Linked DNA regions of Arabidopsis thaliana. The protein of the gene in region 1 interacts with the protein of each later gene in a biochemical or structural test. Each region holds a gene or a part of one and is shown on either strand. Other genes may lie near its edges.

What was found. Proteins that work in one complex are often made in the same cells at the same time.
Region 2: the proteins of bHLH115 (region 1) and BTS form a complex in vitro, tested with the Arabidopsis thaliana proteins (one study listed by BioGRID).

Annotation. Positions count from the first base shown.
Region 1 is NC_003070.9:18,926,175-18,930,198, forward strand, and holds bHLH115 (basic helix-loop-helix (bHLH) DNA-binding superfamily protein), read left to right. Parts: upstream 1-1,702; 5' UTR 1,703-1,843; coding exon 1,844-1,956; intron 1,957-2,060; coding exon 2,061-2,258; intron 2,259-2,518; coding exon 2,519-2,581; intron 2,582-2,684; coding exon 2,685-2,762; intron 2,763-2,844; coding exon 2,845-3,007; intron 3,008-3,075; coding exon 3,076-3,339; 3' UTR 3,340-3,506; downstream 3,507-4,024. Other genes in the region: AT1G51055 (FBD-like domain family protein), read right to left, coding at 1-37, 129-141; HTA10 (histone H2A 10), read left to right, coding at 774-962, 1,060-1,269; AT1G51080 (golgin family A protein), read right to left, coding at 3,709-4,024.
Region 2 is NC_003074.8:6,272,210-6,280,004, forward strand, and holds the start of BTS (zinc finger protein-like protein), read left to right. Parts: upstream 1-1,756; 5' UTR 1,757-2,098; coding exon 2,099-2,428; intron 2,429-2,722; coding exon 2,723-2,932; intron 2,933-3,058; coding exon 3,059-3,253; intron 3,254-3,327; coding exon 3,328-3,689; intron 3,690-4,060; coding exon 4,061-4,289; intron 4,290-4,430; coding exon 4,431-4,599; intron 4,600-4,694; coding exon 4,695-5,927; intron 5,928-6,090; coding exon 6,091-6,262; intron 6,263-6,613; coding exon 6,614-6,832; intron 6,833-6,943; coding exon 6,944-7,081; intron 7,082-7,187; coding exon 7,188-7,422; intron 7,423-7,509; coding exon 7,510-7,569; intron 7,570-7,671; coding exon 7,672-7,743; intron 7,744-7,795. UniProt on the Arabidopsis thaliana protein: Essential protein. Negatively regulates the response to iron deficiency and thus contributes to iron homeostasis. Exhibits E3 ubiquitin-protein ligase activity in vitro.

The DNA.
Region 1 (4,024 bases):
TTTGTGTTATCATCCTCTTTTAAAATCTCAGAATCACCTGATGAAAAACCAGAGAGACACAATGCACACAACTCTCAGATATAAAAGATTGAAACTTTTAAGTTTGATTCAGAAAGCAAATTACAAACCACAAAGATTCATATCATATAATGTCAATCACTTACTGGAAACTTCATATAAAATCAAAATTGAAAAAAAAAAACTGAATTCGAATTATGAAAATCAAAAAGGAATGAAGCGGGAACAAAACCTTGGGGATTTAGTTTGAATCGTGATGAAGAAGGAAGATCAGAGCTTGAGGGAGATTCGAAATTTCCTCGCTTCATAACAAAATCTGAGAAATAGATTTGAAAAACAGACAACACTAGGTTACAAAAACTGTTACTCGATGAATAAAAAAAGAGGACTTTTTCAAATCTTCACACACAAATTTCACAAAGAACCCGGATTCAATTTTTGAAAATTGGGCTCTTTGGTAAAATGTAAAACGTTTGGGCCGAAAAAAGAAGAAAAAAACAAAACTGTAAAGAGGCAAAGAGGATATTTTGGTAATTCACTCTGACGCGGATCCTGAATCTCGAATTATTCACCGTTGATTATAACATTATCTAACGGTGATAAACAGCGATCCGCGTAGTTTCTTCTTATTGGTTAAGACGAATCTAAAACAGTATATAAACTCTGGAGAAGATGGAGAGAGTCCATAACAACAAATTCGATTCTTATAACTGTTTCCCTCTCATCTTTACACAAAAGTATTCTAATCGATTTCAATGGCGGGTCGTGGTAAAACACTCGGATCTGGGTCTGCGAAGAAGGCAACAACAAGAAGCAGCAAAGCCGGTCTCCAATTCCCTGTGGGTCGTATCGCTCGTTTCTTGAAGAAAGGCAAATACGCCGAACGTGTTGGTGCCGGAGCTCCGGTTTACTTAGCCGCCGTTCTCGAATACCTCGCCGCTGAGGTAATTCCTCTTCCCTATTCTTCAAATTTTCGATCTTTTAGTTCAATTTCTATAAACCCTAATTTTGACTGATTTTGGGGAAATTTTGAAAAATTAGGTATTGGAATTGGCTGGAAACGCAGCGAGGGATAACAAGAAGACGAGGATTGTTCCAAGGCATATTCAATTGGCGGTGAGGAACGATGAAGAATTGAGCAAATTGCTTGGAGATGTGACTATTGCTAATGGAGGTGTGATGCCTAACATTCACAATCTTCTTCTTCCTAAGAAGACCGGTGCTTCCAAGCCATCTGCTGAAGACGATTGATTAATCAACCAAATCCACTCTCTTGTGTTTTTTGAGTTTTTAAGGCTTTTTAAGAGTAATTTAGATTAGATCTATGGTGAAGAAAGAATCTATCTTCTGTGTTTTTTGAATTGAATTGAATGTTCATATGCTTTCAATTTCTTATGGAATCAAGATTTTAACTTTTCTAGGTTTTCGAGTTATGATGATGAAATTCTTAGTCTTATAAATCACTAAAGACTTGGGATTTTTGATTGGTTGACATAAAGAATGGACTTTTGAGTTAAATTTGGGAAAGCTACTGGGAATGACATCATGAGAGGTGTATAATTGAGCAACTATGACATATATTAAAAGAGATCTGAAGGATTGATGATGATTGGTGGGCCAATAATGTACAACATCCATGAAAATGAAAGATCAAAATTATATAATAGAAACCGATTGAGAGAGAAAGAGAATCCATGCCTAGCACTATACCATATCTCTTTTTTCTTCCGTTTTTCCACACATTGTCTCTACCTTTCCCTTTTTCAGATTTGACCCTTTGTTTTCAAAAGAAACGATTTTTAGTAGCCGCCGGGGAATCAGGAGAATGGTGTCTCCGGAGAATACGAACTGGCTTAGTGATTACCCTTTGATTGAAGGTGCTTTCTCTGATCAGAACCCCACTTTCCCTTGGCAGATAGATGGCTCAGCTACTGTCAGGTTAGTTTTTTGTTAATCAGATTCAAGGGTTTCTGGGTTCTGTGTTTTGTTTCTTTCACCATCTATTAGTTTTGTTTCTTGGCTTTGGACTTTTGGTGTTTTAGGATTGGTAGTTATATCTGGAGAAGTTGTTATGGATGTGTGATCACTCAGTTGGTTTTTAGATGCTCTTGTTGTGATAGAGATATTGGACTTCTGCATAAATCAATCCTCTGTTTTTTTTTTTGTCTCCGTTTTGCTTACGTTCCTCTGTTTCCTAAAGAAGTAGACGAATCTAGATCTCTACCAATTGCGAAAGGAAGGTTCTGTAATTAGTATCTGGAGAAGTTCTTTATGGAGTTTGACCTTGTTGATCACTCAGATTGCTATTAAATGGTCTTCTTGTGATAGAAATATGAAAGAACTGAGAACCTAAAGTATAATGCTTTTTCTCTCTGTTTTGCATCCATTCCTCTGTTTCCTTAAGCAGTAGACGAATCTTGCTTCTATTCTGGAATTCTACAAATTGGCTGTAATCTTTGTAATTGATCCTTCCTCTTGTGTTGATGTGATCTGTTCACAGTGTTGAAGTGGATGGCTTCCTTTGTGATGCAGATGTGATCAAAGAACCAAGTTCAAGGAAGAGGTATCAAACGCTATTTGGTCAAACCTGCGTTAACTAATGACTTTCTTGTTCTTGCTATGCAATATTGGAACCTGTTGTAAAGTTTTCCTTCTTACTGCTGCAGGATCAAAACTGAATCTTGCACTGGTTCTAACTCGAAAGCTTGTAGGGAGAAACAAAGACGTGATAGACTAAATGACAAGTATTTTCTTGCTTTCTCGTCATTCTCTTCTATCATTTACCTTTTGAGTTCTTAATCTTTTGGTATGGTGCTTTGTCAATAGGTTTACGGAGTTGAGTTCCGTATTGGAACCTGGGAGAACTCCAAAAACAGACAAGGTTGCTATTATCAATGATGCAATTCGCATGGTGAATCAAGCAAGAGATGAAGCGCAGAAACTAAAGGACTTGAACTCAAGCCTCCAGGAGAAAATCAAGGAGTTGAAGGTAAAAACTGAAAACTCCTGCAAGATCTTTAGCTTGTCCATTGATCTTATGTATATGCCAATATGTAGGATGAGAAGAACGAGCTGCGTGATGAGAAACAGAAGCTTAAGGTCGAGAAGGAGAGAATCGATCAGCAACTGAAAGCTATTAAGACACAGCCTCAGCCTCAACCTTGTTTCTTACCAAATCCGCAAACACTCTCTCAAGCTCAAGCTCCTGGAAGCAAGCTTGTCCCTTTCACAACTTATCCCGGCTTTGCAATGTGGCAATTCATGCCTCCTGCTGCTGTTGATACCTCACAGGACCATGTCCTTCGTCCTCCAGTTGCTTAAAGCTGCTGCTTCTCTCTACTACTATTAACGGTTCTGTAAGATTACTTCTTACGCGCTTTTTTCTGATGTAATGATTCTCACATTCTGTGATTGGTGACATAGTCCACTGCAACTTAAAATGTAAAATTGAAATAAGCTTGCACTAAAAATCAAATCTCATTGTGCAAAAAGTTGGATAATTTGGAAATCATTGTTTTACAGATTGTGGATTCAGAGGAATATGTAAATGTGTAGGAAGTTTCTTTGAATTGATTGATTGATTCAAGTTTAGCATATAAAAGCAAAGTTTGTATTTTTCAATTACACAAACTCAAAAAGGATTTGCTTTTTGCTTCCTTTTGTGAAATGTTCTTAACCCAAAGAAACTTTTCATTGAGACCTTCTCTTGTTCATGACTTTCTTCAACAGACTCTCACGACCAGGAAAAGGACTTTGAATCTTTGGCTCAAGTTGCTTCTCTACATCTTCTAGCTTTCCCAAAACACCCTTCTGCTCACTTCTATTCACTGTCTTGCCATCATCTCTCCCAAGACTCTGTCTCATCCTTTCTCTCCTCTGTTTTCTCCTCCATCCATTCTCATCTTCCTCTTCTTCCTTCTTCTTAATCTCTCTTCTTCTTACCATTTCTCCTCTCTCTTCTTCTTCTTCGTTCGCCTTCCTTAACCTAGGAATCCGACCACCTTTG
Region 2 (7,795 bases), on another chromosome or scaffold:
CAAAACAAAAGAGGGAAAAAGGATACATGAAAAGAGATTGATCACTATATTGATGGATCACAATTCACAAAAAGCCAACCCATTGCCTATTGTACACTTGCACGATACTCGAAATTTCCAAATAATTCGGAACAAAAAAAACAGCTATATTCATTTTTTAAAATAATCAACCAATCGAATTTAGTCTTAAATTGTATAATTGTTTTAATCATTTAGGTTTACGATCATAATTAGGTGGTCATAGATGCCTATATCGTTGCATTAATTGAAGAAGGGAGAATAATAATCCTACCATCTATGATCCTATAAGATTGCAATAAAGCTATATATATATATATATATTCATATAGTATATATGATCTAATCTCTTGTTAATTACTATATAAATTAGGTAAAGGTTACCGTAGAAAATTACGTGGAACAATGTTGAAATGCTTACATAAGTTGACTAGTCCGTGTTGTTTTTGTTCTTTATAGAATTATAGTCAAGAACGGCGAATTATTAAGTTGTTTCTGATTATAAAATAAATAGGTTGTTGTGAAATCGGGGGAAAAAGAATAATGAATACTTGTTAAATATTGGTCCCCTAATAAATGTTATTTATTTTGGTTATAAGAAAAAAAAGGAATGTGTTGTGGAGAAGAGAGCGCGAGTGGAACTTGTTGCTACCCAATTGTCGCCACACTTCCCACACGTCCCCTCTTGTATCTTTTTTTTACTTTTCACCACTTCCTTTGTCCTCTGTTTTTTTCCCACCATTTTCTACTTCATCAATCTATTCCTTTTGTTTTTTTGGTAAAATATGTAAATATCATCTATTTAAAAATAAAATATGAACGAATAGATTTATAAATATACAAAATTGAAATTTTAAGATACTTTTAATCGAAAAGAGTTCCCAAATATTTACGTAATTAACATTTTTCAAAGTTTATTTAGGTTTAAATGTAATTTTCTGGTGTACCACTAACTAGACTATACATAATATAAACACGACTGTGAAACATGATCATCATTAGCTGTTGATTATCTACTAAAGAATTGTTTGTTATCTCTACATAAGAATATATATTGAACACGATTTCTATTATCTTTTACTAATTTGAAATAGAATTGTTTCTAGTAATGACACAAAATTAATTGACTCAATCTAGTAAACCTTGGAGCACATGCAAACTCAATTAAACAAGTTTAAACCTTTGTATTTGCATTTATTAATCAAAGCAAAACTGTGAAGCAATAATTTAATCAATGGTTTAATTAAGAAGCTAATTAGCTATTTGGCTCCTTTAGATTACGAACGGGTGCTGCTACATCTCCTCTCTGTCATTAGTCATTACTAAATATTTAAACCAAGTTCGAATCTGTCTTACATTATCTTATTTCATAAAATCTCAAAGCCAAATTCATCTTTTCTTTTGAAAGTGCTCCCTCAAAAGCTAAACCTCAAACATATAAAATAGCAAATTCATTTTAACAAAAGCTTAATGAATTCCACGTAAGCAATTACATAACGTTTTTGCCCCTAGTCAGTAGAGTCCCTCCTTCTAACTCCGAGAACCAGCGTCCATGTCTCGCGGACCAAATGCGTTCGTAGGTAAGACGCTTGCACGTGTCGAGATGTAATCGGTCACGTGCCAACCTGGGTTGGTTGCATCAGCATCCGACGTGGCGATGTGAATGGCCACGTGCTACAAAACCTATGTATAGAAACACCCACCCAATCCCCAAGCACTTTTATTCATTTTCTATAAAAAAATTTACAAGGATCGTATAATACTACTAACAGTTTTTTTTAAATATTTTCCAGATAAACATTAATAAAACGATAAAAGGCAAAAAATAAAAAAGAAAAGAAAGCAAAAGCAAAATCAAAATCGATATATCAGACAACGCCTCGACCTTTCTTTCTTTTTTTCCTTCTCATCGTCTCCGTTGAACAACACCACACAAACACCAGAAGAACACCAGATAATTCCCATGGTGAACCGAGCTCAGATTTGAAAATTGAAGGTCGTAGACGAATCATAAGGAAAGAGAGAAGTGGTTTGAGATTTCTTTTTTGACGGACGAAAACGGAGATAAGCTTTGGGGGAAATGGCGACGCCGTTACCAGATTTTGAGACGGCGAGAGGCGGCGGAGCAGTGGCGTCTTCTTCAACCACGGTTCTTCCGAGTTCTGTGTCTTCTTCTTCTTCTTCATCTCGTCCGTTGCCTGTGGCGAATTCGTTCTCGGATGACGCGGAAGAGATTTCTCCGATCCTGATTTTCTTGTTCTTTCATAAGGCAGTATGTAGTGAGCTTGAAGCTCTTCATAGATTGGCTCTTGAGTTTGCTACTGGTCACCATGTCGATCTCCGGCTGCTTCGTGAACGGTACCGGTTCTTGAGATCCATCTATAAGCATCACTGCAATGCCGAAGACGAGGTAATGCGAAAACCTGGTCCTCTTCTTTTAAATTTGATCTCATCATGTTCTGAAAACTGCTGAATTAGAATTTGGAACCATCTCTACTTGGATTTTGAACTCAATACATATAGCTGCAAATTTGTGTAAATCTGACTTGATTTTATCTTAAACGAATTGTAAGTCTCAATTAGTCTCTTGCTGATCATCCTATTGATTCTATGAGTGCGTTGTAGATAGGGAATCTATTGCAACATATTTGTATTGCTATGTTATGAGGAAGAATTGTTGACAGTTGCAAATCTGTGGATGTAGGTGATATTTTCAGCTCTTGACATACGTGTGAAGAATGTAGCGCAAACATATTCTCTTGAACACAAGGGGGAAAGCAATCTTTTCGATCATCTCTTTGAGCTGCTGAATTCTGCCACGGAAACTGATGAAAGTTACCGAAGGGAGTTGGCTCGTTCTACCGGAGCACTTCAGACTTCTGTTAGCCAGCACTTGGCGAAAGAACAGAAACAGGTATTTTTTTCTTTTCCTTCACATCACAGATGTATTATCTCTGTTGTTTTCTATTAACACAGATCGAATATTTAGCATTACGCATTGGCCTTTATTAATTACGGGTTGTTCTTGGCTTGTTGATAGGTGTTCCCCTTACTTATTGAGAAATTCAAGTATGAGGAGCAAGCTTACATAGTCTGGCGGTTTCTCTGCAGTATTCCTGTGAATATGCTTGCTGTGTTCTTGCCATGGATTTCTTCTTCCATTTCAGTAGATGAAAGCAAGGAGATGCAAACGTGCTTAAAGAAGATAGTTCCAGGCGAGAAGCTCCTTCAGCAGGTAAGTTTTGAATTAAGATCCAACTTTCTAAGTTGAAAGACTTTGGCTTGTTGATTGATATTTTCCTTTTGAAGGTTATTTTCACCTGGCTGGGAGGGAAAAGCAATACCGTGGCTTCGTGTCGCATTGAAGATTCTATGTTCCAGTGCTGTCTAGATTCTTCTAGCAGCATGCTTCCTTGTAAAGCAAGTAGAGAACAGTGCGCATGTGAGGGTTCCAAGATTGGGAAGAGAAAGTACCCAGAGCTTACTAACTTTGGCTCATCTGATACTCTGCACCCAGTTGATGAGATAAAGCTCTGGCACAAGTCAATCAACAAGGAGATGAAAGAAATAGCCGATGAGGCTAGGAAGATTCAGCTGTCTGGAGATTTTTCGGATTTATCGGCATTTGATGAACGCTTACAATATATTGCTGAAGTGTGCATCTTCCATAGGTATTTGTTGTATCCTTTCATTTACAATGAAAACAGAATAATCTCAATTTTGCTATTGTTTATTGGCTATCTTTTGTGGGACTATTCAATGTTGATTTATTGAGGTAAATAACTAGATTTGTTTTATAAAGTTGATGTTGATGGCCACTAAAACACGTTTGCCAGCTGTGATGTGTTTTACTTTCAAGTGATATGGATGTTGTTTATCCTTTACTCTTCTCATGCTTAAGCACGTTTCTGCATTAGAGTGTTATCATTCGAAAAAGAGTTTTATCAAATGTTCATATCTACATACAACTTTTTTTTTCTTCTGACAGAGATTGAATTGTCATTGGACTATTTTTGAGATGATCTGTTCTTTTCTCGTGCAGTCTTGCAGAGGACAAGATCATATTTCCAGCTGTAGATGGAGAGTTTTCATTTTCTGAAGAGCACGATGAAGAAGAAAATCAGTTTAACGAGTTTCGATGCTTAATTGAAAATATCAAGAGTGCTGGAGCCTCTTCTACTTCCGCTGCCGAATTTTACACTAAGCTGTGCTCACATGCTGATCAAATAATGGAAACTATTCAAAGACACTTCCATAACGAGGAAATTCAGGTGAACTATTGCTTTTAAGTGCTGTATGATATTGTAAACAGGTGAAACTATGAAAGTTTGGCATAAGATCATTTGATACTATATGCTATGAAGATTCAAGATACCAATTTCAGGATGTCAACTAACTTGTAGTGGTTGCAGGTGCTACCCCTTGCACGAAAGAACTTCAGCTTCAAAAGACAACAAGAACTTCTCTACCAAAGCCTGTGTATAATGCCATTGAGACTAATTGAACGAGTTTTGCCATGGTTGACGGCATCTTTAACAGAAGATGAAGCTAAGAATTTTCTGAAGAACTTGCAAGCTGGAGGTACTATCTACTGTACTGCCTTAAACTTAACCTTCTTTCAAATTATTAGCTACTCACAATTTTGCATAATTACATGCTTTTTCTTGTGGCCTCAGCACCTAAATCGGATGTTGCTCTCGTTACTCTTTTCTCTGGTTGGGCTTGCAAAGGACGCAAAGCCGGGGAATGCTTGTCTCCAAACGGGAATGGTTTATGCCCTGTGAAAACACTAAGCAACATTAAAGAAGTCAACCTTCAGTCATGTAATGCTTGTGCGTCTGTTCCATGCACGAGTAGGAGTACAAAATCGTGTTGCCAGCATCAAGATAAAAGGCCAGCTAAGCGAACTGCTGTATTGTCTTGTGAAAAAAAAACCACCCCTCACTCGACAGAAGTTGCAAATGGGTGCAAGCCATCTGGAAATGGTAGGTCATGCTGTGTTCCGGATCTCGGAGTTAACAATAATTGTCTGGAACTTGGTTCTCTTCCAGCAGCTAAAGCTATGAGATCTTCTTCGCTAAACTCTGCTGCACCCGCTCTTAATTCCAGCCTCTTTATTTGGGAAATGGATAGTAACAGCTTTGGTACTGGACATGCTGAGCGGCCAGTTGCTACAATATTCAAGTTTCACAAGGCCATAAGCAAAGATCTAGAGTTTCTTGATGTTGAATCTGGAAAGCTCATTGATTGCGATGGAACATTTATTCGTCAATTTATCGGTCGATTTCACCTACTCTGGGGTTTCTACAAGGCTCATAGTAATGCAGAAGATGACATCCTATTTCCAGCTCTAGAATCGAAGGAGACACTTCACAATGTCAGTCACTCTTACACGCTCGACCATAAACAGGAGGAGAAGTTGTTTGGAGATATTTATAGTGTCCTTACCGAACTTTCAATTCTTCATGAGAAGTTACAGAGTGATTCTATGATGGAGGACATAGCTCAAACTGACACTGTTCGGACGGATATCGATAACGGTGACTGCAACAAGAAATACAATGAACTGGCTACAAAGCTACAGGGGATGTGCAAATCCATTAAAATCACTTTGGATCAGCACATTTTCTTGGAGGAACTGGAGCTTTGGCCTCTATTTGACAAACACTTCTCCATTCAAGAGCAAGACAAGATTGTGGGTCGTATAATCGGAACAACGGGTGCTGAAGTTCTTCAATCTATGTTACCATGGGTGACGTCTGCCCTTTCTGAAGATGAGCAAAACAGAATGATGGATACCTGGAAGCAGGCAACCAAGAACACAATGTTCGATGAATGGCTTAATGAATGCTGGAAAGGATCACCCGACTCATCCTCAACAGAAACATCCAAACCTAGTCCACAGAAAGGTAAAAGCATTGCTTAGCTATTTCTCACCAACTTAATATCTAACTTGTTTAATGTAACCTTAGATGTTTCTTCTTTGGACTTCATAACTCATACTTAAGCTGGCAACTATAGTTTCTCTGTGCTAAGTTTGTTTTGCTTATGTCAAGTTTATTTTCCATATAGATAATGATCATCAAGAAATCTTGGACCAAAGTGGTGAACTATTTAAGCCAGGGTGGAAAGATATTTTCCGCATGAACCAGAATGAACTAGAGGCTGAAATCAGGAAGGTCTATCAGGACTCAACACTTGATCCGAGGAGAAAAGATTATCTCGTACAGAATTGGAGGACCAGGTCAGATTTTTTTCACTATTTCCACGCATGGATCCTTTATTCCACATTGTCATGCATACAGCATGCCAGACATAAATCTAGAACCCCCCAAAGAGATAATACATTTCCCTGTATTACTTGAACTTCTTTTGCAATGCGGAAGAGTATAAGTGGTGCTCCTGTCCTTTACAGTTTCCCAATCCAAAATAACGTGCTCAGTTTATTTTCCACTGTGCATGTATATGTGTCCTTGATTGAGCAATCTTCTGATATAGAGAACCTATAATCTCATTCACATGTCCCTCATACCCGAATCCTATTTGTTCTAGAGTAACATTTATTTTAAAATTCTTCTGTTGGTGCATTTATCAGTCGATGGATTGCGGCTCAGCAAAAGTTACCTAAGGAAGCAGAAACTGCAGTAAATGGTGATGTTGAACTTGGATGTTCCCCGTCTTTTCGGGATCCCGAGAAGCAGATATATGGATGCGAGCATTACAAGCGTAACTGCAAGCTTCGAGCTGCTTGTTGTGATCAGTTGTTCACTTGTAGGTTTTGCCATGACAAAGTAAGCGACCACTCCATGGATAGGTAAGATCTTATATTCTAAAGCCAGTTTCCCCTAATTAAATTGAAACTTCTTTGTTCGTATTTTTTTTCTCTCTCTGTGATATGTAATTTTATATTTGAAACATATTACAGAAAATTGGTGACGGAAATGCTCTGTATGCGGTGCCTCAAGGTGCAACCTGTTGGTCCCATCTGCACAACACCTTCATGCGACGGATTCCCAATGGCAAAGCACTATTGCAGTATTTGCAAACTTTTTGATGATGAAAGGTAAACAAAACCCAACAGTTTGATGCATAAACGAATCAATTTACCACTGTCAAAAATCAAACTTCAGAAGCTATTCTAACCGTGAGAAACAATTATCTGCATTCAGGGCCGTTTACCACTGTCCATTCTGCAACCTTTGCCGGGTCGGGGAAGGACTAGGAATCGATTTTTTCCATTGCATGACATGTAACTGTTGCCTAGGGATGAAATTAGTAAACCACAAGTGCCTCGAGAAGAGCCTCGAGACAAATTGCCCCATCTGCTGCGAATTTCTTTTCACATCGAGTGAAGCAGTTAGAGCCTTACCATGTGGTCACTACATGCACTCAGCTTGCTTCCAGGTTTGCAAATCTCTCTTTCTCTCATTAAACTTAAATTAACTTTTAACGCCTAAAATCAAAACACTTGCTGTTACTCTGGTCTTTCAGGCTTACACTTGCAGTCACTACACATGTCCAATCTGTGGAAAATCATTAGGAGATATGGCTGTAAGATGATCCCCGCCCCTCAAGAGTGTAACATGCATATCACATCATGCAAATATTGTTTACTGAACTGTTTCTTCTTCGTTTCTTTTGCGAACTCCACAGGTTTATTTTGGTATGCTTGATGCACTGTTAGCTGCAGAAGAACTTCCAGAGGAATACAAAAATCGCTGTCAGGTGAGAAACACTAAAACTGCTGCGTCTTGACTATTTCTTTTAGTCTAGTCAT